3 linked regions of the Styela clava genome follow. The protein of the gene in region 2 interacts with the protein of the main gene of each other region in a pairwise test. Links are inferred from orthologs where the notes say so. Each region holds a gene or a part of one and is shown on either strand. Other genes may lie near its edges.

Evidence for each region. The genes of interacting proteins can lie anywhere in the genome.
Region 1: the proteins of uncharacterized protein LOC120344499 (region 2) and exosome complex component RRP43-like interact in a two-hybrid assay, tested with the Homo sapiens proteins (2 studies listed by BioGRID). The link is inferred for Styela clava from reciprocal best matches to the Homo sapiens genes POLDIP3 and EXOSC8.
Region 3: the proteins of uncharacterized protein LOC120344499 (region 2) and enhancer of rudimentary homolog interact in a two-hybrid assay, tested with the Homo sapiens proteins (2 studies listed by BioGRID, with this or other methods). The link is inferred for Styela clava from reciprocal best matches to the Homo sapiens genes POLDIP3 and ERH.

The regions. Positions count from the first base shown.
Region 1 is NC_135250.1:31,193,093-31,200,153, reverse strand, and holds exosome complex component RRP43-like, read left to right. Parts: upstream 1-4,950; 5' UTR 4,951-4,974; coding exon 4,975-5,802; 3' UTR 5,803-6,447; downstream 6,448-7,061. Other genes in the region: nitric oxide synthase-interacting protein-like, read left to right, coding at 1-498; 2-(3-amino-3-carboxypropyl)histidine synthase subunit 1-like, read left to right, coding at 2,689-3,906; coiled-coil domain-containing protein 174-like, read left to right, coding at 6,457-6,693. UniProt on the Homo sapiens protein: Non-catalytic component of the RNA exosome complex which has 3'->5' exoribonuclease activity and participates in a multitude of cellular RNA processing and degradation events.
Region 2 is NC_135254.1:8,186,430-8,194,133, forward strand, and holds the start of uncharacterized protein LOC120344499, read right to left. Parts: upstream 3,051-7,704; 5' UTR 2,875-3,050; coding exon 2,810-2,874; intron 2,138-2,809; coding exon 1,753-2,137; intron 972-1,752; coding exon 807-971; intron 617-806; coding exon 559-616; intron 1-558. Other genes in the region: uncharacterized protein LOC120345080, read right to left, coding at 5,234-5,290, 6,503-6,663, 6,991-7,081, 7,632-7,704. UniProt on the Homo sapiens protein: Is involved in regulation of translation. Is preferentially associated with CBC-bound spliced mRNA-protein complexes during the pioneer round of mRNA translation. Contributes to enhanced translational efficiency of spliced over nonspliced mRNAs.
Region 3 is NC_135254.1:14,324,731-14,331,907, forward strand, and holds enhancer of rudimentary homolog, read right to left. Parts: upstream 3,115-7,177; 5' UTR 3,000-3,114; coding exon 2,909-2,999; intron 1,003-2,908; coding exon 785-1,002; 3' UTR 357-784; downstream 1-356. Other genes in the region: alpha-1,3-mannosyl-glycoprotein 2-beta-N-acetylglucosaminyltransferase-like, read right to left, coding at 6,230-6,500, 7,052-7,164. UniProt on the Homo sapiens protein: May have a role in the cell cycle.

The DNA of each region.
Region 1 (7,061 bases), on a different chromosome or scaffold from region 2:
ACAAGTAAATCAAACGGGCAGTCGGAATTGAGCAACCTTTACGGAGATAAAAAGAAAGAATTAACAAGCTTCTGGATCCCGCAGCTAACGCCAGCGGCAAGCAAAAGTCGTTTTAAAAAACCAAGTTCGAAGGTGTATTGTCCGATAAATAACACTTCGATCAAAATGAAAGATTTAATACCGGTGAAATTTACACCAATTGCTGATCGGGACACAAAAACTGCGCTAATTAGTAAAAAGGACCGTTGGATGTGTGCAGTCACCCATGACACTTTAGGGAACTCTGTACCGTCGGTTGTTTTGCGTCCGACGGGCGACGTCGTTACTGCAGATTGTGTTGAAAAATTAATTAAACCAAACGAAATGAGACACCCTATAACCAATGAAATTTTAGATGAAAAACGAGATATTATTCCGTTGCAACGTGGCGGGACTGGTTTTTCTCAGACGAACGAATCTCTGGACGTTAAGAAATACAGACCTTCCATGCATGTTTAGTTTGAGTGAAAATTTCTAAAAAAAATCTCTCTTTCTGAAAGCTCCAACGAAAATTTCCTCCATTGAATATTTGGTACTGCCGTAGTGGTGTGTACCAGGTTGGGGTTATCCCACAATTTTTTTCCGATTTTCTTTATTTTAGTTCTGTTATGAGTTCGGAGACTGTCTGTGTCAGCCAAGTAAATATACCACATAGGTTTCAGTTCCTTTACCCAACTTGATGTAAAGTAGCCGAACAAAATTAGTTACCTCCATATTGGTACACACACTTTTGGAGCACCAAATATTCTACCCAGACAGTATAAAATCCCAATCTTAATCACTATTTTTGAAACTTTTTGGCGTTTCCACTTCGACACAAAACACATGTTTTAGTCGAGTATACGTTGGAAATGACTCTAAATATGACATGGACAAACTACGACTGCTGGGTGATTCTGTCTGGCCCACCTGATGCTGCCACAACCAAACTAAAACCAAATTTTGATGTTTTAGCAAAAAAAAAAGCTCAGGATTTGTTGAGATTGTGAGTAAATTTAGTTTGGGCATGAAGCTTATTGTTTTACATGTTTGCTTTTGTGATACTGTAGATATTGTTCATAAAATGTAATTTTTTATGTTTCACTCACATGGCCCGCCAGTCTAGGTGGGCAAGTTTTGGCTTCTGGTCCCCCCTGGGAAGTTTTGGCTACAACTCCCGACTGCAACGAAACCTTTGAATATCCGTTGTGAAGGATTTTTTAGTCGATTTAGTCGATTATTACCATTGTAAGTCTGTATTTTTGACATATGTCGTTACAGCACACTATCCAAATTCCAAGAATTTCCCCCTCATTTGGCTCAATGAAACAAACACTCTATGTGTCTCACCAACGAGGGGCGTCTGGGACCACGTCAGATGCTTCATATCGTGCCATGCTTGTCTCGATAATAATCTAAAATAATCGTGGGCGTCACATGACCAAAATTGCCGTTTTTGCTAAAAACTCTCGAATGCTACGGTCAAATTTTTTTTCCTTCGGTAAATCGGATTATTTTTTTCCAAGGAATTCAATGATGACGTTACTGAAGTGCGCTTTTTTGTAGTATTTTGCGCAACTTCATTATACAGTATTATTACCGATATTGAGGGACAACAATGTCCAGACGTCTCCCAAAGAAGGGGTGTCTGATCATCTGTAAAATGGGTTTCTCAGAAACGAGGCAATGTCACTCGATTTGTATAGTGTGCCGTACTGTATGTGCCATATGACTATGAGAGTTGTGGAAAAATAGTTGCTCTTTTTAAGCCACACCCACTTTTTAGAATTTGTCAGGTCCCCCTCTCAAAAATAACTAACTAACAAGAGGCTACAAATAACAGCTAGTAAGGCGGGAGTATGTTTCATTCAAAAAATACGTGAATGGAACATAAATAATAATATCAATGAAAATTTTTGAAATGTAAATATCCAAAGTAAGACGGACAATATAAAATCTAAGAAATATTTTTACTCTTGTTCTCTCAAAAAATTGTCCATGCTCCCCACAGACTTCTCACATTAGTTCTTTAACTTTATTTTTTATTCTCATTTTCAATATAAAGTCATTATAGTTGTTTGCTATATTATTCTATTCTATCTCTATTAGAGTTGGATCGGTATTTATGCCATAAATGTGGTACTCTCGTTGTGTGTGTACCAGGGTAGGGTCAGGTCATAATTTTATTCAGATTTTTCTTATTTTAGTTCCATTACGAGATCGGGACTGTCTGTGTTAGCCAAGTGAATATATCCCCTGCCTATAGGTTTCAGTCCCTTTACACAACTTGATGTAAAGTATGCGAACAAAATTAGTTACTTCCATATTGATACACACACTTCTGGAGCGCCCTAATTTCAATAAAAATATGACAAACTCTGATGCCACTGCCCTGAGATCATCTGTGAGGTTATATCTATTTAGTCAGTCTATGCATCTGGAGTACTTAACTGGTAAATAAATCATCTCTATGTGTAACCTGAGCTGGTAACAGGACCAACGCCTTGGTCTGCCAATAAGTGAGCTGTCTTATTGCATTCCCCCTCCCTGAGTATAAATATGGAAGCTTCTATCACAGTTTGTGAAGTTGAACTTTTTTTCATTTTCAATATAAAATCATTGTTTTTACACTAGATTATTTATCTAAATATAGGTTTATATTTATTTAAAATGGAAAATCAAACTGCAGTTGTTAAAGCTAATCCAACAAGAAAACGGGTTGGGCCAAAATCTAGAATAACAGCCAATCAAATTCCAGCTGAAATTCTAGAAGACTCCTCATTGGCTGCTGCAATTTCAAATCTTCCTTCAAATTACAATTTTGAAATTCACAAAACAATATGGCGGATCAGGCAGAACGGAGCAAAACGCGTCGCTTTACAATTTCCTGACGGACTTTTGATGTTCGCTTGTACCATTTCTGACATCATAGAGGAATTCACTCAAGCGGAAACTGTCATAATGGGTGACACAACATACGGAGCATGCTGCGTTGATGATTTTTCTGCACGTGCGCTGGAGTGTGACTTCATGGTTCACTATGGCCATAGCTGCCTCATACCTATCAACAATATGCCTGATATCAAAATGTTATATATTTTCGTTGATATTAAGATTGATATTGAACATTTGATGGCGACAGTGAGAGAAAATTTTACACGTGAACAAGCGTTGTATCTAGTCAGCACCGTGCAATTTGTCGCTACTCTACACGCAGTCAAAAACCAATTGATGAAGGATGGTTTTAATGTTAATATACCACAAATCAAACCGTTGACGCCTGGTGAAATTCTTGGTTGTACTTCGCCGAATGTTGGCGATGTGAAATGTGACGCTGTGATTTATCTCGGAGACGGCAGGTTTCATCTCGAATCTATGATGATTTCAAATCCAGAAATTCCGGCTTACAAATATGACCCATATGCAAAGACTTTTACGATCGAAAAGTACGACCATTTAGCTATGCAGAAAGTGCGAAGAAACGCGATCGAGAAAGCACGAAAAGCTGAAACGTGGGGGCTGATTTTAGGTACCTTGGGACGCCAGGGATCTACGACTGTTCTGGACCATTTAGAAGAGCGAATTCTTAACTCTGGACGAAGAGTTGTAAAAATCTTACTTTCAGAAATTTTTCCGTCAAAATTAAAACTATTTCCTGATGTTGGAGCATGGGTTCAAATTGCTTGCCCCCGTTTGTCCATTGATTGGGGCCTTGCCTTTGACACACCCCTCTTGACCCCGTACGAGGCTGCTGTGGCAATCAAAGACATAGAACCGTGGGAGGGGAATTACCCTATGGATTTTTATGCTCGTCAATCTAAAGGACCCTGGACTCCAAATTATCAGCCTCCAAGAGAGGTTAAAAGTAAAGTTGTCAAAGCCACTTGATATAAAGCTAATCTGGCACTAGTTTTTAAACTTTACTGAAATACCCATCGAGTCTTAGGTCATCTGTGTAAAGTAATAAGCTTTTTAACTTTTTATTTTAGGGGGGTGTTTCCAAATCTAAGAGGTGGTAGATATTTAGCTATTAAAATAGCTAAGTGTATTATGTAATTAACTGACCGCCTACACTGGTATATGAGTCACTTTCTGAATATTCAAGTACAATATTCCCATCCAAGTTAGAAACCTAAAGTGAAATATCAGATCTGTGGGAGGTCAGGTTTCAAATTAAGGTTTACTTAGAGGTATTACTAGGGCTGGGCACTTCAAATCGATTCGAATAGTAAATTATTCGAATCGGTTCAAAGCAAAATTTTGAATCGCCGCCATCTTGTTTTTGTTCTTTTCGACCATGGTCAGGTGAATTATCCATTTTTTTTTTATTGAAATCATATTTTTTCAATGCATTGTTGACATATGACTATTTTCTGTAGTGAGGTATTGATAAATAGTGTTTCTCATTGTGTGTGAACGCTTCGCAATCTGTCTGAGTGACGTATTCTATGTTTTCAGTAATTCATTTGTTGACAGGACCAATTACAATAAAAAAAAGTCGCATACAATTACATATCTCCCATTGACCCAAGTATTCGAGATTCGATTAGAAAAAAAGATTCGATTCGATTCTGAAATCATCAGGTATTCGAAATTGCCCAGCCCTAGTTATTACTGCATCAAGTTGGTAAATTTTAATTTTTCAAATATTATTTTGCCATTTTGCTCAATTATTTGTTTTAATTTTGAATAGTTTCTTTGAGCATTTGAGGTCTCACGATACGAACAAGGAAGCCATCTTTAGTGCATTTCCAAATTCAAACTTTTCAAATATGCATTGACTTCTGTGTGTTCTCTCTTGAGCATGACCCAATTCGGAATATCTTTATTACTTCTGAGTGAGTTTGCGATGCTATTAGAAGATTTTTTTTCAAAAATGTAACATTATTTATAATTTAAATGCTACAATTTTTGTGCTTTTTCTCATTTTAGATTTTCTACGTAACTAATTTAACTATGGAAGATATTACAAGTAATTTTGAAGCTTCATTGCCTTTGGAACATTACAAAGAGGTATTGAAAAATGACGTGCGACCGGACGGAAGAGATCTTGGAAAATTTAGAAAAATGACAATTAACGTTGGATCTATTAGTACAGCGGACGGCTCTGCTCTTGTGCAAATGGGAAATACCATGGTCGTTTGTGGGGTCAAAGGTGAACTTACGAAACCCCCTGCTTCGAAACCAGATTGTGGAATTATTGTTCCGAATGTGGACTTATCACCGATGTGTGCGGCTCATTTCAAACCCGGTCCACCGTCCGAACAAGCACAAGTTGCGAGCCAACTTCTTAATGACATCATAAAGACTTGTGATGTCATAAATCTTGATGAATTATGTATTTTTAAAGACAAACTGGTCTGGGTTTTATATTGTGATGTTGTTTGTTTGAGTTACGATGGAAATTTAAATGATGCTTGTATAATGGCTTTAGTGGCCGCTCTCGAGAGCACAACGTTGCCAAAAATAAAATACAATGAAGAAAATGATGTCATAGAGACGCTCGCTGACCCGGAACAGAGGTCAAAGTTGATAGTTCGAAAAAGGCTAGTTTCTTCAACTTTTGTGTTATTCGACTCTACTCATCTAATTGCTGACCCAACTTTGAAGGAAGAGGAAATGACATCGGGAGTAGTTACCATAGTAACGGATGACCAAGGCAAATTGTGTCATCTTCACAGGCCTGGGGGGTTCCCCCTCAGAGACAAACAATTAGAAAAATGTATAAAAGCAGCAACGCGGAACGGTCAAAAGTTGCACTCATTGCTGCAACAATTTCAATAATATTTTTATTCTGATAATAATAAACTAAAGCAAAATTTGCATAAATGAAGGATTTTAGAATAAATATCCTAATTAAAACTGACCAGTAGGTACAAGGTGCTCATATGAATAGGCTGGTAACGTGAATATTCTCTTTCCTGACTTGAACATGAGGTATATGTAAGGAGAGGTGTGGCTTTATATGTCAATATATCTCTGCGTTTGGTAGTAAAGTTTGATTGTGTTAACCGCAAGTTAGCATGTGCGATATAGTTTTCTGTTATCAACTCAAACAAATATTTATTTAACTAATTATCACCAGGTTTGCCCAAAACGAATCAAATAAATATCAAAGTATTTGAATACCTTTTCGTCTGATTTTTGAATAATCCTGAATAATAGCCACTTTTCGCCGTAAGCGTGGTGTTCGTTTTCAAGGGAAATCTTATTTGTTGTATCTATCGTATTGAACCTCAGCACTCTATTGCTTTCTCTCTCCACTGCAAACCAAATTTTCCATAGGGGACTTTAAGCTTCCTCTATGCAAATCCAATCATACGTTCATGCTATGCTTTTTGTGCACTATTTTTACACTCTAAACAAGACTCTGTGTGAGCAAACACCCTCTTTATGCTCTTTCTAATCATTGCCAACTTCCTTTCTTAGCTAACAAACATGTTCAGTTTAAAATCGGAACTGTTTAAAAAACAACAGGAGGTGACTTCAAAGAAATCTGGTCAAATAGTTACATCGGCAATCAGAAAACAACATAAATTGAAAAGTTCTTCAAATGGGGAGGGGAAAGTACCTGAAAATGAGAAGAATCCGGGAGTTGAAGAACGTAACGCAAGAGATATTGCCGAAACATCTGAAGAAATAGATAAAGGGAAAATGGTGAAATCTGTGCTGGAGGTGAAAATGAATTCTTTTGTAATAAAAACTATTATACCTTCTTTTCGGATTTGTTGTTTTTTGCGATTATTGGAGATGAGGTTATAGGTTTTGCATTCCCTGGAAGAAAATTTTTCTATTATGTGCTGATTTCTTTACCTTTGCTCAGAGATGAGTCTCTTTTACTCCAGAGTGACTGTTTGTAACTTTGCTCAGATATGAGTATCCTTTACTTTGAGTGAGTGCATGTGACTTTGCTCAAAGATAGGTTTTATTCACATGCAATGCACTAAGCTTAGGTCACCGTCTTATTACCTATCGATCTTAAGATTGGTAAGTATGTTGATAGGTATCTGTCTGTCTGTTAGATGAACGCGATATCTCACGAA
Region 2 (7,704 bases):
TATTTCATTCAGGATTGATGTCCGACTACCAAACTGTCGACTATCATTGCATAAAATAAGCAAAATATAGGTTTTTTTCTGATTTACGATTTATCCAGAATTTAATTCCGGTAATTTAATTAATAATTAATATCCGGTAATTTAATTCTCAGAGAAAATATCTTGTTCATCAATATCATCACCACAAATATTTTCTTATCAATTAGGAGTGTGAATGAGAAATGAGAGATGTTTTCCAAGACATTGCTGACCACCAGATCGCTGAAATGCAATTGCAGAATCGCCACACAGTGCGCAACTTCCAATTTTGATGACGTCATCTCATCACACAAAATTTTAAAGTGAAAAACGAATCCAATAAAGCCCCCAGAAATTTTTTAAATGAACAAGAGTGATAGCGACAAAAACAATCTTTGACTTTAACCACTGAGAATTTGAAAGCAATTGGTCAATTAGTTTGAAAGAAAAGCGATTTTTTCACAACAAGAAAAATATCAACAACAACAGCAACGTAACAAAACGATCCATGATAGACGCTGATTCTGAGGAAATACTTACTAATTGTAGCAGGTCTTGGTGCCGGTGGTGGTGATGAACGTCTTGGGGGTGGAGATTTCTGGATAAAAGGAATCATTTCAAATAAATTAAAAATGGAGAATTTCTATTAAAAGTTTTAATATGTTATAACAAAGAAATGAATTCTTTGCTTCGAAAGACAAGTTTGACAAAAACATTCTACAATTTCAATTTTACTATTTATGATTTATTTAAAATTTTCCTGAACAGTATAAATAAAAACAACTTACCCTTCTGATTGCGTCTTTATTTACAGTTGTTATTTTCAATTTTTCATATTGTTTTTTCGTTGTTGGCCATGGCGGTACACTTGATCTCGCACTGGATGTTGCAAGTTCATTTATAACCGCAATTTTTATTCCAGCACCTAGTCTCTGATTTACAGTGTTACCATTCTGAAAGAAAACATTATATTATAACTCAAAACTTCTGATTATTATTGTTGTTTTTGTTAACACACAATTAGATGAAGAATTAGCCATTTGATTGTAAATAAAAACTTTGAGGTCCAAAACATTACTAATGAATAGTTTTATCTTCTATTGAAATATTTCAGTTCTACTGGATTCCAGTTTCAAAAATTTGCCTCACAAATATATTTCCAGCGTATAAAAAATTTGTCTGATTCAAACACCATTGAGCATAACTCAATTTATCGAAGGGAAAACAGAATTCAAATGTTGACATTTAATTTGAATATTGTTTTATCTAACACAGCAAAGAATAAGTATCCCTAAGATCATAGCATTCATATAATTCCAATTTCCAGGTACTCAGTGATCTGCTATTATGAGTAAAGGTGTAGGCCATAATGATAGCACAGACATGGGAATATTTATATAACAGTTCCATATTTAATGATTATTGGTTCAATCAAATACTGAATAAAATGAATAAGAAATTTTCTAAGCATGTTGTTATTAAATAACGAAAAAATTAAAAGCGGCAAACTTTTAAACATTCATGATAGTTTTTTTTTTTGTATTGTCATTATACCTAAGATGTACAAAATCATTTTCCAGTTACTTATACTGTTTAACATACCATAACATATAATGTTTACGGTTCCATTACATTTGAACCCACGTACATTTGAACCCATGACAATTGCACCTGTATGCTATTGCACCTATGGAATTTTTTTTGTTTCACGGATAGTTATCGAAAAATACTCACTCTATTATTACTTGAATGACCGAGAGTCGACCTTGTTTTATTTCCTTGAGCAACATGGAAAGTAATGTTGGGCAATTGATGAGGCTTTTGCAAAGCTAGTTCATTTGGAATTGTAACTTTGGGTATTCCCCCGACATGTTTTTGTGGTGCAGGGCGTGCTTGATTGTGTTTAGCTTCTATCTTCTGTCGAGCATCAACAATTTGCTTTGGCTTAATTTTTTGCCGAGCATCAGTTATTGTGTTCTTTGATTTTATAAAGAGTCGTGCATCGACAATTTTTTTTCGGTTTTGTTGCCTCGCAGACTGAAGTCTCTTTTTCTGAAAAGCCAAATTTGGCCTCATTCCTTTATCACTATACATTCCTCTTGCACTGGGTTTCTTGCTTCTGTGGTAAAATAAATACAATGAAATATTTTGGAAGTATTGAACCTGTTAAAGTCATAACTGAGCACGAAGCATTGTAAATATCAAGCAAAGTAACCGAATCACGAATTTAAGGCTTTCAGCAGTTCAGACTCGTCAGTTAGTGCATCAGGCTAACTAACCACTACAGCACTAGGAATCAGGTTGCCAGACTGCCCTTATGCACAGATTAACAAAGGCAATATAACATTAGCCCTACACTCATAAAAGCATATTTCACCATATATTTCAGTGATATCTGGATATCAATCACCCCAAATCAAAAAATATAAACTAGGAAAGAATTGTACATAGTGTAAATAGTTAACAAAGATGAGAGGTAATGATATAATCCACATTGAACCTGTTAAATTATTTTATTACTAATTCTATTGGGTGGCAACTGAATCTGATGACCCCAAAAGGGGGTATCGTTGCCTCCCAGTCATATATATACCTATATACGAAAAGCATGAATCTGTATATTATTTTGATTTGTATGTATTTATATATTGTGTTTTCTTGGTTTGGCAAATGTAATAAATCTCTCTCTCTCTCTACTGTAGTCACAATTTGCAGTTTTATTGGTGGCTAAATTCATTATTACCGTACCGCTGTATCAAGCAAACTTCAAAATTAATGATAATAAACTCACCTTATTTTCTTTGCAGTCTTTCTCTCCTTTATAATTTCATCCAAGGATTGATCTACCAATCCCATCACCTGATCACAGAATACTGGAATAGTCCAATAGGTTTCTGTATTTCAATATTCGTACCTTGAAAATTACGGTATCCAGACACCGGTATCCTTGTTTCAACTGATAAATAGGCCTAGCCTAGTGTAGTAGCCTATAATGGTATATATCTATGCCCTACCCGTGTATCTAGGCTTTACTAAATAGAAAAAAATGAATAAAAACAAAAAGTTCGTCGGTTTTTGTGGTCACATTTACAGTTTTATACGGTACCAACAATGTACGGTACGGGTACTGACTGCTGGACTGGGAAGGCCTTCGGGTCTAATTACAGGATTGAAGAGTTGTCTGTTTGTATATTCTATTATTATAACAATGCTCGTTTTCTTCTGGTTGGCGAAATACCGTATCGCACCGTAATAAATCTTCGCCGCATTTTCTACGGCGACGTTGAGCCTGTCTGTCTTCACTACAGGGCTCCAAATCCAATGGACGTTTCCCTGATCCTTGACCCGAGAAAAATTCTATTTTACTTTACTGCAGTACTGCACAAATTTTTATCTTATAAATAGGTTTACGCGTCCGGAACCTTCAAATGAAATTATTAGACAACCTTCCATTTCTTTGAGGGGTGGCTCATTTTGATAAGAAGAAAAAATAAACTTGACTTTATAATGCGCCGGGAAGGCCAGGGTTTCTGGCAAATGTACTAGCATTTTTTTCGTAGATAAAAAACAAAAACTTGTACACGGTCTCATTCCAAGTGAAAGATGCGATGAACTGTCGTATAAAATACCGTTAAAAGGATCACTTCCGATTAGCAATTAGGAAGAGTGCATTGATTTAAACACCCACAACCCAGGGTTGATCGATATAAAAAGGCAAGAAATTATTTATTCCGATACCTGCCCCTTGTGGGTCATTTCGAGGTAATATGTGAACCTTACCTCATAGAACACAGCGAGCGTTCCTATTTATTTATTTTAGATGACGAGATTGAATGAATGAAATGTCTGTGGTGGGACTCTGAGCTCGCTTGTATAGAAAAGTTACTGCCTGGTACATATATTATATGTTGAGTATTATCACACATTCAACTAAGAACCCATGCATTCAATAAACTAAAAAAAAAACTGACCATACAAAAAACCAGCTTGCTTCAACTAGACATATATATTTCTTTCTATATCTACACAGTGCATCGAATTAAACTACAAAATAATACAAACACAGATTGTCAGTCACTGTTATAACATACATGCATAGGAAAAGATGAAACTTGGGTCTACCAGTCCCATTTTCATAACTGATTTTAAAAAAGAATGAGATATGATGTAGATACATCTTTGCTTCAAAACAATGTTTCCCGACTACACTTGGAAACATTGAATTATCCAAAAACCTGTAACATATACTTTAAGACATGCTGTTGTGGAGGGGAGATAATGTTAAGCTCCAGAATAACTGTTTTTCGTGCCAAGATATTCGAGTGGAATGCACGAGATTATGACACTCCACAAATCTGTACTCGCTAAATCAAAATGGGATTTTATTTGAATCCACCATAAAAATGAAATTACAACGCATGCGAACATGGAACAAAGTAGAAAAAATGGTTATTTCATGGAGCATGGATATGACCATAGGCCAGGAACCCAAATAAAGTTGCATTAAAGTAGAAACCCAAATGGAAGATATTCAAAGCAGTTACAATAATTTATTTCCTCATAATTAAGCACTATGCATTAAGATATATGCATGACAAAAAAGTTCCTATATTTATGTACTATGTTCCATTTGAAGACGTGCCGAGCATGTATGGGGACAAAAAGAATTGCAAAACATAACATAAACAAAGGTAACCAAAAAATCGTAGTATACATTGACAGAGATGGTATTATATAAAATTCCAAGGGAAGACAAAAATGATAGATAGCCATGGAAGACTGTGAACAATAGGTTTAATAAAATTGCTACAAAATCACCATAAAGGCACCTCAGCTACTAACTTCATGAATGCAGTGGTAAAGTAATATTTCTATGCATAAACTTAATAATTTTTTTAAATTTAACATTGAAAAAACACAGTAATAAAAAGCTCTAATTACACATCAAATACTATGCCAAAATCATAATACAATGCATGTGTGTACCAATAATTCAGTATTCTTTTCTCGAATGAATGAGATAGAAATACAAGTTAATAAAACACTCTTAATAAATTTCCCAACAGCTATCTAACACTGGAACATCTTAAAAACTATCTTTTAACCAAAAAGTGCAATCAGGTTTAATTAACAGTGGTTAAAGGCATCACAAATAAACTGCTACAGTGAGTTTCTGTACAAATTATAAAATTGATCATGGACAATGTGTGTATATTTAAGCATCTTGAGGAACTTCAATTGAAGCAGTTGCCTTCTCTTTTTGAGCCAATTCCTGTAATATGAAAGTAAAATATTTTAAAATATTCATAAAATTAAAAATATTCGAAGTGTGTTATGAATTGTCAGTGTTGATAGCCTGTCGATTCTCTTTCAGAAATTGTTCCATTCGCTAGGTATGCCACTGATAAGTGAACTACGTATTTGGTGATATTCTAAATCAGGGGTTCCCATGCTTTTTTCAGGACGATCCCAAAGACAACTTTCAAGTGTCTAGTGCGACCCCAGGTCAATATATATATTTTTCATGAAAGTTTAAGCTTCTTTCACTAGACTTTTTAGATTGGTCATGTGGTGGTATTAAGTAAAATAAGCTAAAACCAACAGTGATGTCACATTAATCACCTAAATTTTCTATAGCATAAGCATAGAGCGATGCCTATGGGCCTGTTTTACAGTAAGTCATGGTACAAACTGCTAAATTTAAGATGGTTCGTCAAATTTCAGATGTTTTGTGTACATTCATCCTCGACCATACCTCAGCGACCCCACCGACCCCATGACCTGTTTGCGACTCTACCTACTTATCATTCTGACCCAATTTGGGGTCGCAACCCCTGTTCTAAATTTACCCTCAAAATACACAGGAAGTATTGTATCCATTTTCAAGACATTCAGACTCAAACAAGGACATTTTAGTAATTTGGCAATATTTTGCATGAAAGTATCATTCACTTTATGGAGGCAAGGTAAAAGGATGAATGTAAAAATTTTGAAGAATTTGAAAATATTACATAGAAGGAGGTAGCCTACTCTGTATGTTGGTATTTAATCATTGTCTGTGTATTCACCAGGATTTTCATAAACTTAAAGGAGTTTAAAAATCAAAATCATATGTTGAGCTCTTTATCTCCTTAATTCAAATGCCCTCAATAGACAAAAGAAAAATGGGAAACCAAGACAAAATTATATTACTTCTGACAACATCTTTTGCTGTTTGAAAAACTTTTTTGTAATAAATGAGGTACATCATATGCCAAATTGAAAGGCAAATGGCGTCTTACTACATCTGTTAAATATTTAAAGGAAGGGCCTGGCCCTAGATCTCAAAATTGAGTGCCATGCACCAAGATGGCGCACAACCTGAACTTAGTATGTTAACCAAGTTAGGGTTATCAGGTTGTGCGCCATCTTGGTGCACATACTTCTGGAGCGCCCAAAATTGATCTTGAGCTTATGACCTTCCCAGATGAAAACAAATACATACATTCAATTCCTGTTCCTGAGCCATCATCCTTCTTTTCCTCGATCTTCTTGCTTTTAATTTCATTTGGAAATCTGCATGTTGTCGGGCTCTGTTTGCTTCCATCTCCTTTGAATATTCTTCTCGTTGTTTGTCATATTCTGCCATCACTACCTCAAGGTTTCCTGAGTAAAAATAATGAAAAGTTAATATAAACAAGAATCGTTATCTGGTCTAATATTCTTTAAACCCAACAGTTGTCTTTTTGTCTGAATGCACTTGATATTAAAAACATGCTCATTGTGATGCTGGACTTCTTAAAGTCAATAGCTGGACCATTTAACTCTTAACAGCTTCCACCATTCATGTACCGTTGTACCAATTTTTAATAACTGTATTGCTACATTGTTTAAAAACATTATGTTAGTTATTAAATTCAAATAAAACAATACCAATAAACAGAAACCATCAAACCATTCAATTACTAAACCAAATTCAATAAGTGACCTCACCAAAAAGTTCGTCTTCTTTAGGCGAAGGTGCCAATTCATCCAAAGGTAGCGCCATAGGTTTGTCATCTTCAACTGAAGCTGTTTCATTAGCCTGTATAACAATAGTTTGTTATTATAGAATACAGTTAACTTGGAGCATAAAATATTTCCAAAAAATAAGTTCGAGGTGACCCAAAACAAAACCCAGGGGATTATTTGGAACGAATTCTAGAGAGAAAACATAACTTTCGTACAGATTGTCCCAGATTACTAAAACATTTGGTTACAATCATACGCAAACAGAAGTTGAAAAGTTAAATAAATTGAGCTTCATTTCCATACGAGCAATTACAAAATTTATGGGTTTTGTTTTGGGGGTCATCCTTGTATTATACTGAAAAATTACAGATTGCTATTCTTTTTAAAAATGCTCAGGCATACTGGCTTCAGAATAAATTATATTGGCTATTATTGGATGATCACAATAAACTCCAGCACATCTGATGTTCATGTTAGAATTAGAAACAACAGCATTAGTTATTGATTTGACAAAACAATTGAAAAACAAGTTCAAATTTCTGTTCGCGCCACGCTTATCCCTATTCAGCATTTCCTGAAGTTTTCACAGAACACTAAATTGTATACCATCATCAGTGACTTACCTCCCCTTCCGCACTTTCCTCTTGTGCTTCTTTGATCTGTTTGTCAAGATCCTGGGATTCTGGAATATTTTCT
Region 3 (7,177 bases), about 6.1 Mb from region 2:
AAAGCCCAATTATGGTGAACATTTCAAATATTGATCAGAGCATAGAGCCTGAAAATAGGTTGCTGAACTCTGGTGCAACTCAGATATTTGTAGGCACAATTCTCTCTGGTCAAGCTCAAATGGATTATCTGCACATGCAAATCTTTGACCAAACTTTAGTCCTTATTATCAGTTGCAATGACGTCATATACAACATCGATTTGACAGTATACAGGAGATTTCATAGCTAGTTTTCATGACATCTCATTAAATGGCCACCACATTGAGAATTGCACTACTGCAATTGATATTCTGTGAAACTCCAAATTTCTAACATTTCTCCCAACTGAAACGCATTATACAAATAAAAACGAACAAACATTTCAAATTGCTATTTACATATCAAATAACATTGCTTCCCAAACTAATTCTTCACGATGACAGCTATAAGAAATCAAAGACGATACCAACAATTAAAAACCATTGACACTACTTACACAAAGGAGATGCTTGCCTATCTTGTGTTAAAAGATAAAACAATCACAAAAATTACATTTGAGATTGAAGGACGTTCATTGGTAAGAGAAATCAAATACAGATATTGAAATTCAACTCCGTAAAGTGGTCAATAAAATTGCAAACTACATTCAATAATGTGTTATACCAGTCAATTCAAGCCTGTCAAAACAAAAGTCAATGACGGCAATCTTCAATCAAACTAAAACTAGAAATGGGTATCTATTTCTCAAGCATGATTGAAGATAGATCGTTCCATAATTCATGCCTAGTATCTTCGCTCCAATATTTATGTCTTGCCAGCTTGTTTCCGAAGGAGAATGTAGATTTTTTCTTTGATCCACTCTTTGTTGAATGGTGCGTATGTCTGGGTAGATTTTTGAAATACTAGGCAACAGAGATCAGCAAGTTCATCGATGAAATCAAACAGTTGACTGATGTCGTAAGTAATTGAAGGGCAATTGGGATTGATTCGCTTGAGATGTTCTTCATAGATCTTGCACACACCTAGAAATGTAAAATTATTTCAAAATAAAAATATTTTTGGAAAAACACATGCTAACATATTAGTACTATGTGATTGATATTTTCAATCTGTTTTATGTGAGTGAAATACACGCATACAAAAATGGACAGGTAACTGAAGTGTAGATTTCCAGCGTAATGCTTTCACCTTTGATATTGAGTAATTAATTTTATATTCTCACATTTATCCTGTGTTAACAGTAAACACATATCAGTATATAGTAACAAACCATATTTAAACGAACAAGTTTTTAATTTGAATTTTGGGTTAAATCTAGTTCAATTATAATAATTTTCCCATTATAAGCTGATATGAAAAAGTTATCTATATATTTTACAATTTATTCATCAAGGACATGCTATGAAAAATTAAAATGAATTCACATATTTGACCAGACATTTGGTTCAATAAAACAAACTCTATTTGTCTCTGGGAAGAGATCGTCTGGCATAACTGTAGTATGTAACTGTAGATGTGTCAGATCGCGCCATGCCTGTCTCAATAATACTTTTAAACCATAGCGACGTGCGCCGGCCAGCGTATGACCAAAATTGCAGTATTGTACTAAAAACTCTCAATTGCTATTTTTTTTTTTGGAGGTTATATTATTTTTTCTAAGGAAGGAATCCAATGGTGTAATTTTTTTGGTCTGCGCTTTCTATTCGTTCACTGCACAGTGGCTGTTCGTGCCAAAATGAAAGCCCAGACAGTCTAGTAAAAGAGGGGTTTGCACTCACTGGTATAATTGATGTCTTTTAATGTGGGGGCTATTCTCGACCGTCATACTGGTTTTTTTTTTTTAAATTAAATTCTCTTCTTAAAACATTAGTTTCCTAGATGTTTTGTCCTTTCTTGATGTATCGCTGTGTTTTTTTATTTAAATATCAATGTTCATTATATATGAACATTATAAAGACGAGAAACAATTATTACAATTCTTAAGTACTGGTATTTAGGCATAAAATTGATATGGCGTTCTGGAAATTGTCGAAATGCACCGGAAACTATTTTTGAGATTTCTAATACTGATAGGCCTACTTAATTCAAAGCATGAAACCATCAAGCACCATTTTCAGAAAATATTTGCTGTCTTATATGAATTATAAGCACAGTAGTTCGTATTGTATTCTGATCTGTGACTCCTGGACATCAATTGGACTTTGTATTGGGGCATTTATATAGGATAGGATTTACATATTTATCCCGGGGGGGGGGGGGGGAGGAAAGCCGATAAGATGGCTTATCAATATGGCGAACCACGGCCTCTCGTCCGGTTACCATTCCAAGTCGGGTATGGGATTAGTTTTATTGTTTGTTTTCGGAAGCATGGACTTGGTGGTGGAGGAAGCCGTAACCGACCAGCGGTTACGTGAACCACCCAACGACGGCGAGGAGTCCAGCAATCCTCTCGCACATAACCATCTCTGCATGGGATTCGAACCTGCGAACCCACGCAGAGTAATTAGAGGTGCGGTGGTGAGCGTATTCCTAACGCTTAGCCCGTTGAGCCACACCGCCGCGCAATTTGGGGCATTTATATTGGGGTCTCGTGTAGTTCCATACCTAACGTAGTTATGGCGTAGTCAGATGGCAGTTAGGATTGACATATCGAAAAATTGTTACCGGTATGCTACGCTCACTAGAAGTATGTTAGGTACGGTAGTACCGGTACGAAACTACATGAGACCCTTATACCGGTATTGTTGGTAGTCATGGTTTTTAAGCATATTAGCATTCAATAAACAGACACAATACAATAAAACAATTGATAATAACGACTCGTTACGAATTATTGAAACTGACAATGTATGCAGGTCACATTACGGTACCGTACCACATTCAGACATTATGTACTGATATGATATGTACTGATATTAGGATACTCACCCTCCATGCATTCATTCACCGATTCGTAGTCTGAATATGTCCGCCCCTCAGGCTTTTTCGTTGGCTGAACAAGAAGTATTGTGTGAGACATTTTAAATTTTCTAAAATCTGCTACGAGGAGAACAAAACCGCCTATTCCAGTATTCGCACGCAAGGAATCGACAGCAGCAGAACCCAGTCACCAGTCAGATAAGCAAGCGCCGTTTTGTCAGATTATCATATTTCAGACAAACCTAAACTACCGAATTTCATACAAATGTGTTCCGTGCGCGATGTATTTGCCCCGTAACTATGGATGTTTTCCCGAGCATCGATTTCCCTGTTATTTCCGTAACAATTACCAATCAGCAAAGAGTCAACAATGACGTAACAATTGCAATTTATGCCGCCGCTCAGACATTTCTTTCGACTAGACTAGACATATATATTCAAGCGTAGTTGTAAACATCGCCTCTTTTTAGTATAGTTCCAAAAAATATTTGTGAATCAAAAATAATTATTTAGGATAGAATAGGATTTACATATTTATCCCGGGGGAGAGGAAAGCCGATAAGACGGCTTATCCATATGGCGAACTACGGCCTCTCGTCCGGTTACCATTCCAAGTCGGGTATGGGATTAGTTATATTGTCTTTTTTCAGAAGCATGGACTTGGATAGAATGGATGGACTTGAAAGCATGGATATTTGTTATTATGTCTTCCCAACGACTAACATACCGTCTTTCAGGATCTTTAGTTTTATCAAAAATTGATATCGCAAGGTAGCAGTACATGTAAGCGGCACGTGGTTCAATCCCCGTTGACCCTATGTCTAATGGGATCCTATAGATAGTCCAATGATTTTCGCCATTTTGTGCGTGCAAACTAGATCACATCTTCACAATTTTGTCCCAAGTTGCTGAAAAGAACTGACAGCTAATTGAAAAAAGTCTTCGCCTTTCTCTATTTTGTCTTTATTTGGAAAGGGTCCTGTTTTGAGACAATTGAACACCTCAAAGAAGCATACAAAATTAGGTCTGGATGATCAATGTATAAATGATAATGCTGTTCTGGATTTCCAGCTATATCTTCAAATAAGTCCAAAAATAATAACATATCCCATACCAGTGTTAACATCAATGACGATTTTATTTCATTGGTTGTAAATATTGATGATTGTCACTGTGTTAATACTGGGTTAAGACTGGGTCTTATTTCAATCTTTCTCCGAAAAATAACACTAGGGCTTATTTTCATTTTCAAAAACAAAATTACAAAGTAGAGAACTACGGGATTTTCAAGTATACAAAACATGAAAACCGATATCCATTAAATCATAAATATAGCGTTTTTATTCAAAATAACTGCAAAACATAGATTATTAATCATTTTAAACGTGTAAGCGAGATGTCTTGCTATCGACTAGGTCAAAAAAAAAATTGCGTCATTGACTAGGTCTTATTTTAAGAGTCGGGCTTATATTAAAATCGTTTTTAAAATTCGGACTGGGTCTTATTTTCGGGGAAGTTCAGTAGTTCACGCTTGCAACAATCATGCTTTAAAACCAAGCAGGGGCGGTACGATTCAGCCTCCTACTCTTAATTTGTGATTTACCGCATAAATCTTTGACGAATGTTTTCTTTGGCATGTAAAATTTTGAATAGGATAAAGATAAACTGTTCAACTTTATCAACGGTTCAACCATCTTGAACAATCAAGATTAAACTAACAAACCTTGTACAATATATCACAAGAGCAGCTAGTTGGTCAAGGCAAACGAAGAGCATTTAAACACTGCGGAATTTGAACAAAATCGGCACAATGCTCGAATTACATGCTCACTTATTTGAAAACCCAAAGCGTCCTTGTGGTTCCATTTCCATTCCTGCCAATATTCCTATCGGGCGAACATTTTTATTAACAAATGGCGATTAAAGAGTTTTCAAGGCAGTGTTCCGTGGGAGACATTACAAAATACGCACAATCAAAAAACTTGAAGAGGTACTGTCCTAATCTCACTGCTGCAAAAGACTTAATTATGTAGATTGCACAATATATTTCAAAAGCACATTGGTAAAACTTTGGGTAGTCCTTGATCAAGATATCTTTTAAATTGCTGAATTGAGAATTATCGGCGATTTGTACAAATACAATCAGAATAAGTACTGGTCTCTAAAAATTTGATCAGATATTAACGATGCCTTGTAACAGTTGCAACTTGGCAAAAGGAGATTTGTAGATAGAATGTACATTAATCATTATATAGAAAAATTTAATAAGATTTTGTTTCTAGCGCATTTATTGATCATATTATAGCAGAGTGGCAAATGAAAATGAATATATTATCTGAGGCGACAGAAGCCTATGCCTAACATAAGTATGATCACTTTCAAAATATATCAACCACCAATTCAATGAAAATGATGAAGAAAAAATTACGTTCAATTACCGGTAGGTTTTCCTCAATAAAAACTGTTCTGGAACTGGGAGAGAATAACTGAACCAACAGGCCTGTGTTGAACAGATGATACCCAATTAACAATGTGTGTTGATTTGAAATTCATGTTGCACATTTTACATTTCATAAATCATATAATATCAACATTCAAAAATATGTCTTAAACAGTGCATGTATATGATTATCGATAATACGCAGATAATAAAAATTTCCTCACTTCACACCTTGATAAAATTAACTTCTTCACTCAGTAATACAGAGATGCCATAAAAAGTAGAAGCAAAGATGGATATAATTTTGAATTCTGTCGGAATATTTCATACAAAATCGAGGTCTTCTATACCATTTCTATATACGAAGACAAATGTATTTATATCTTCAAGAGTACTTTCGTTGGCACATTTTAAAACAGTAAAAATAAAGCACACCAAATAAAGCATAAGCCATTTGATACATTTCTACCTTTGGCGTGACCCAAAATGAATATTTTGATTGCACATAACACTATTCAATACGGTTTCACAATCTCTCGAAGACGTTCAAATTCTAAGTAAAGAGTATGTTATATAGACACGATTTGGGGGGGGGTCGGTAGGTGTTTTTAGGTATGACCGAATTGCCCCTAGGGATTGTCACAAAATGACTTGCAACTACGACCTTTGCTCTTGAATATTATTCTCCTAATTGTGCTTAATATAAATAATTCAGGAAATTTTTTATTTCAAAATGGTAGAAAATCGCATGGCAAACAATCAAATCGCAACGCATGACAATGGCTAAAACATTCCCACTCGGATAATTCGGCATTTAAAATTTGAGTATTATTGCAACTGATACTGCATACATGAAACAATGTTGACCAATACCACTCAAACGCTAAAAATCATGACCAGCTTTCAACATAACCAGTCCAATCTACAGGAGGAGCAAGATAAACTCTTCTACCTCTGAAAATAGTGGTTACAATACCCATATATGCTGTCCTTGGCACCCCTTTTTTAAAATCGGACATAAGTCCAAGCTCCTTAGCAAAAGCTTTAAAAGTATGTGACATTGTGTATTCAATTCGAACTTCACGAGAGTCTGGATCTTTATTTTCTTTAAGATCGCTGATTCGAAACAGTGGAAGGTTGTATACTTTATCTTTGAAAGATCTTGAAATATAAAAAAAAAGAAATGCAAGTCTACTAATCATGAATAAAGAGAGGAAAAACTCTAAAATGAGGTAGGAAATTATTGTCAAAACACATGATTTAGAATCGTGTAGAAAAAGAGTTTTTTTTGTGAGCTATTAGTCAAGTATAACATCACACCAGTTGGGAATTATATACAGATTAATATTCAATTCGGAGAAACCGCATATATCTAAATGCACAAAAAAAAACAAAGCCTGACCACTTAGACAACGAATTAGCGTAAGTATATGGCTTCTGCATGTCAGAATATTGTTGCATGTTAGATTTTAATTGATGCCATTTCGGCAGAGGGTAGAACAGTACAGCTTTTAAATTATTTCACAAATATAATATAAAGATTAGTCGGAATGTTATCAGACAAGCAAATATAAAACACATCTCCCTAACCGTTGGTTGGTAATTACTAATAGAGCGGCTTGACAAAACATTACTTACTATCTTATACATTCATAATTAATATAAAATAGAACCTTTGAGCTTGAATAGACTTCAATAAGGTAAAAACATACTTATCATAATTATCTTTAACGAGGTACGAGAGATCTTTTGTCGACCAGTCGACTGGAAATTCATTTAACTTGATATATTTCAAGTGAGTATCAAAGAACTGTCCAGCACTGACCTGTACAAACATA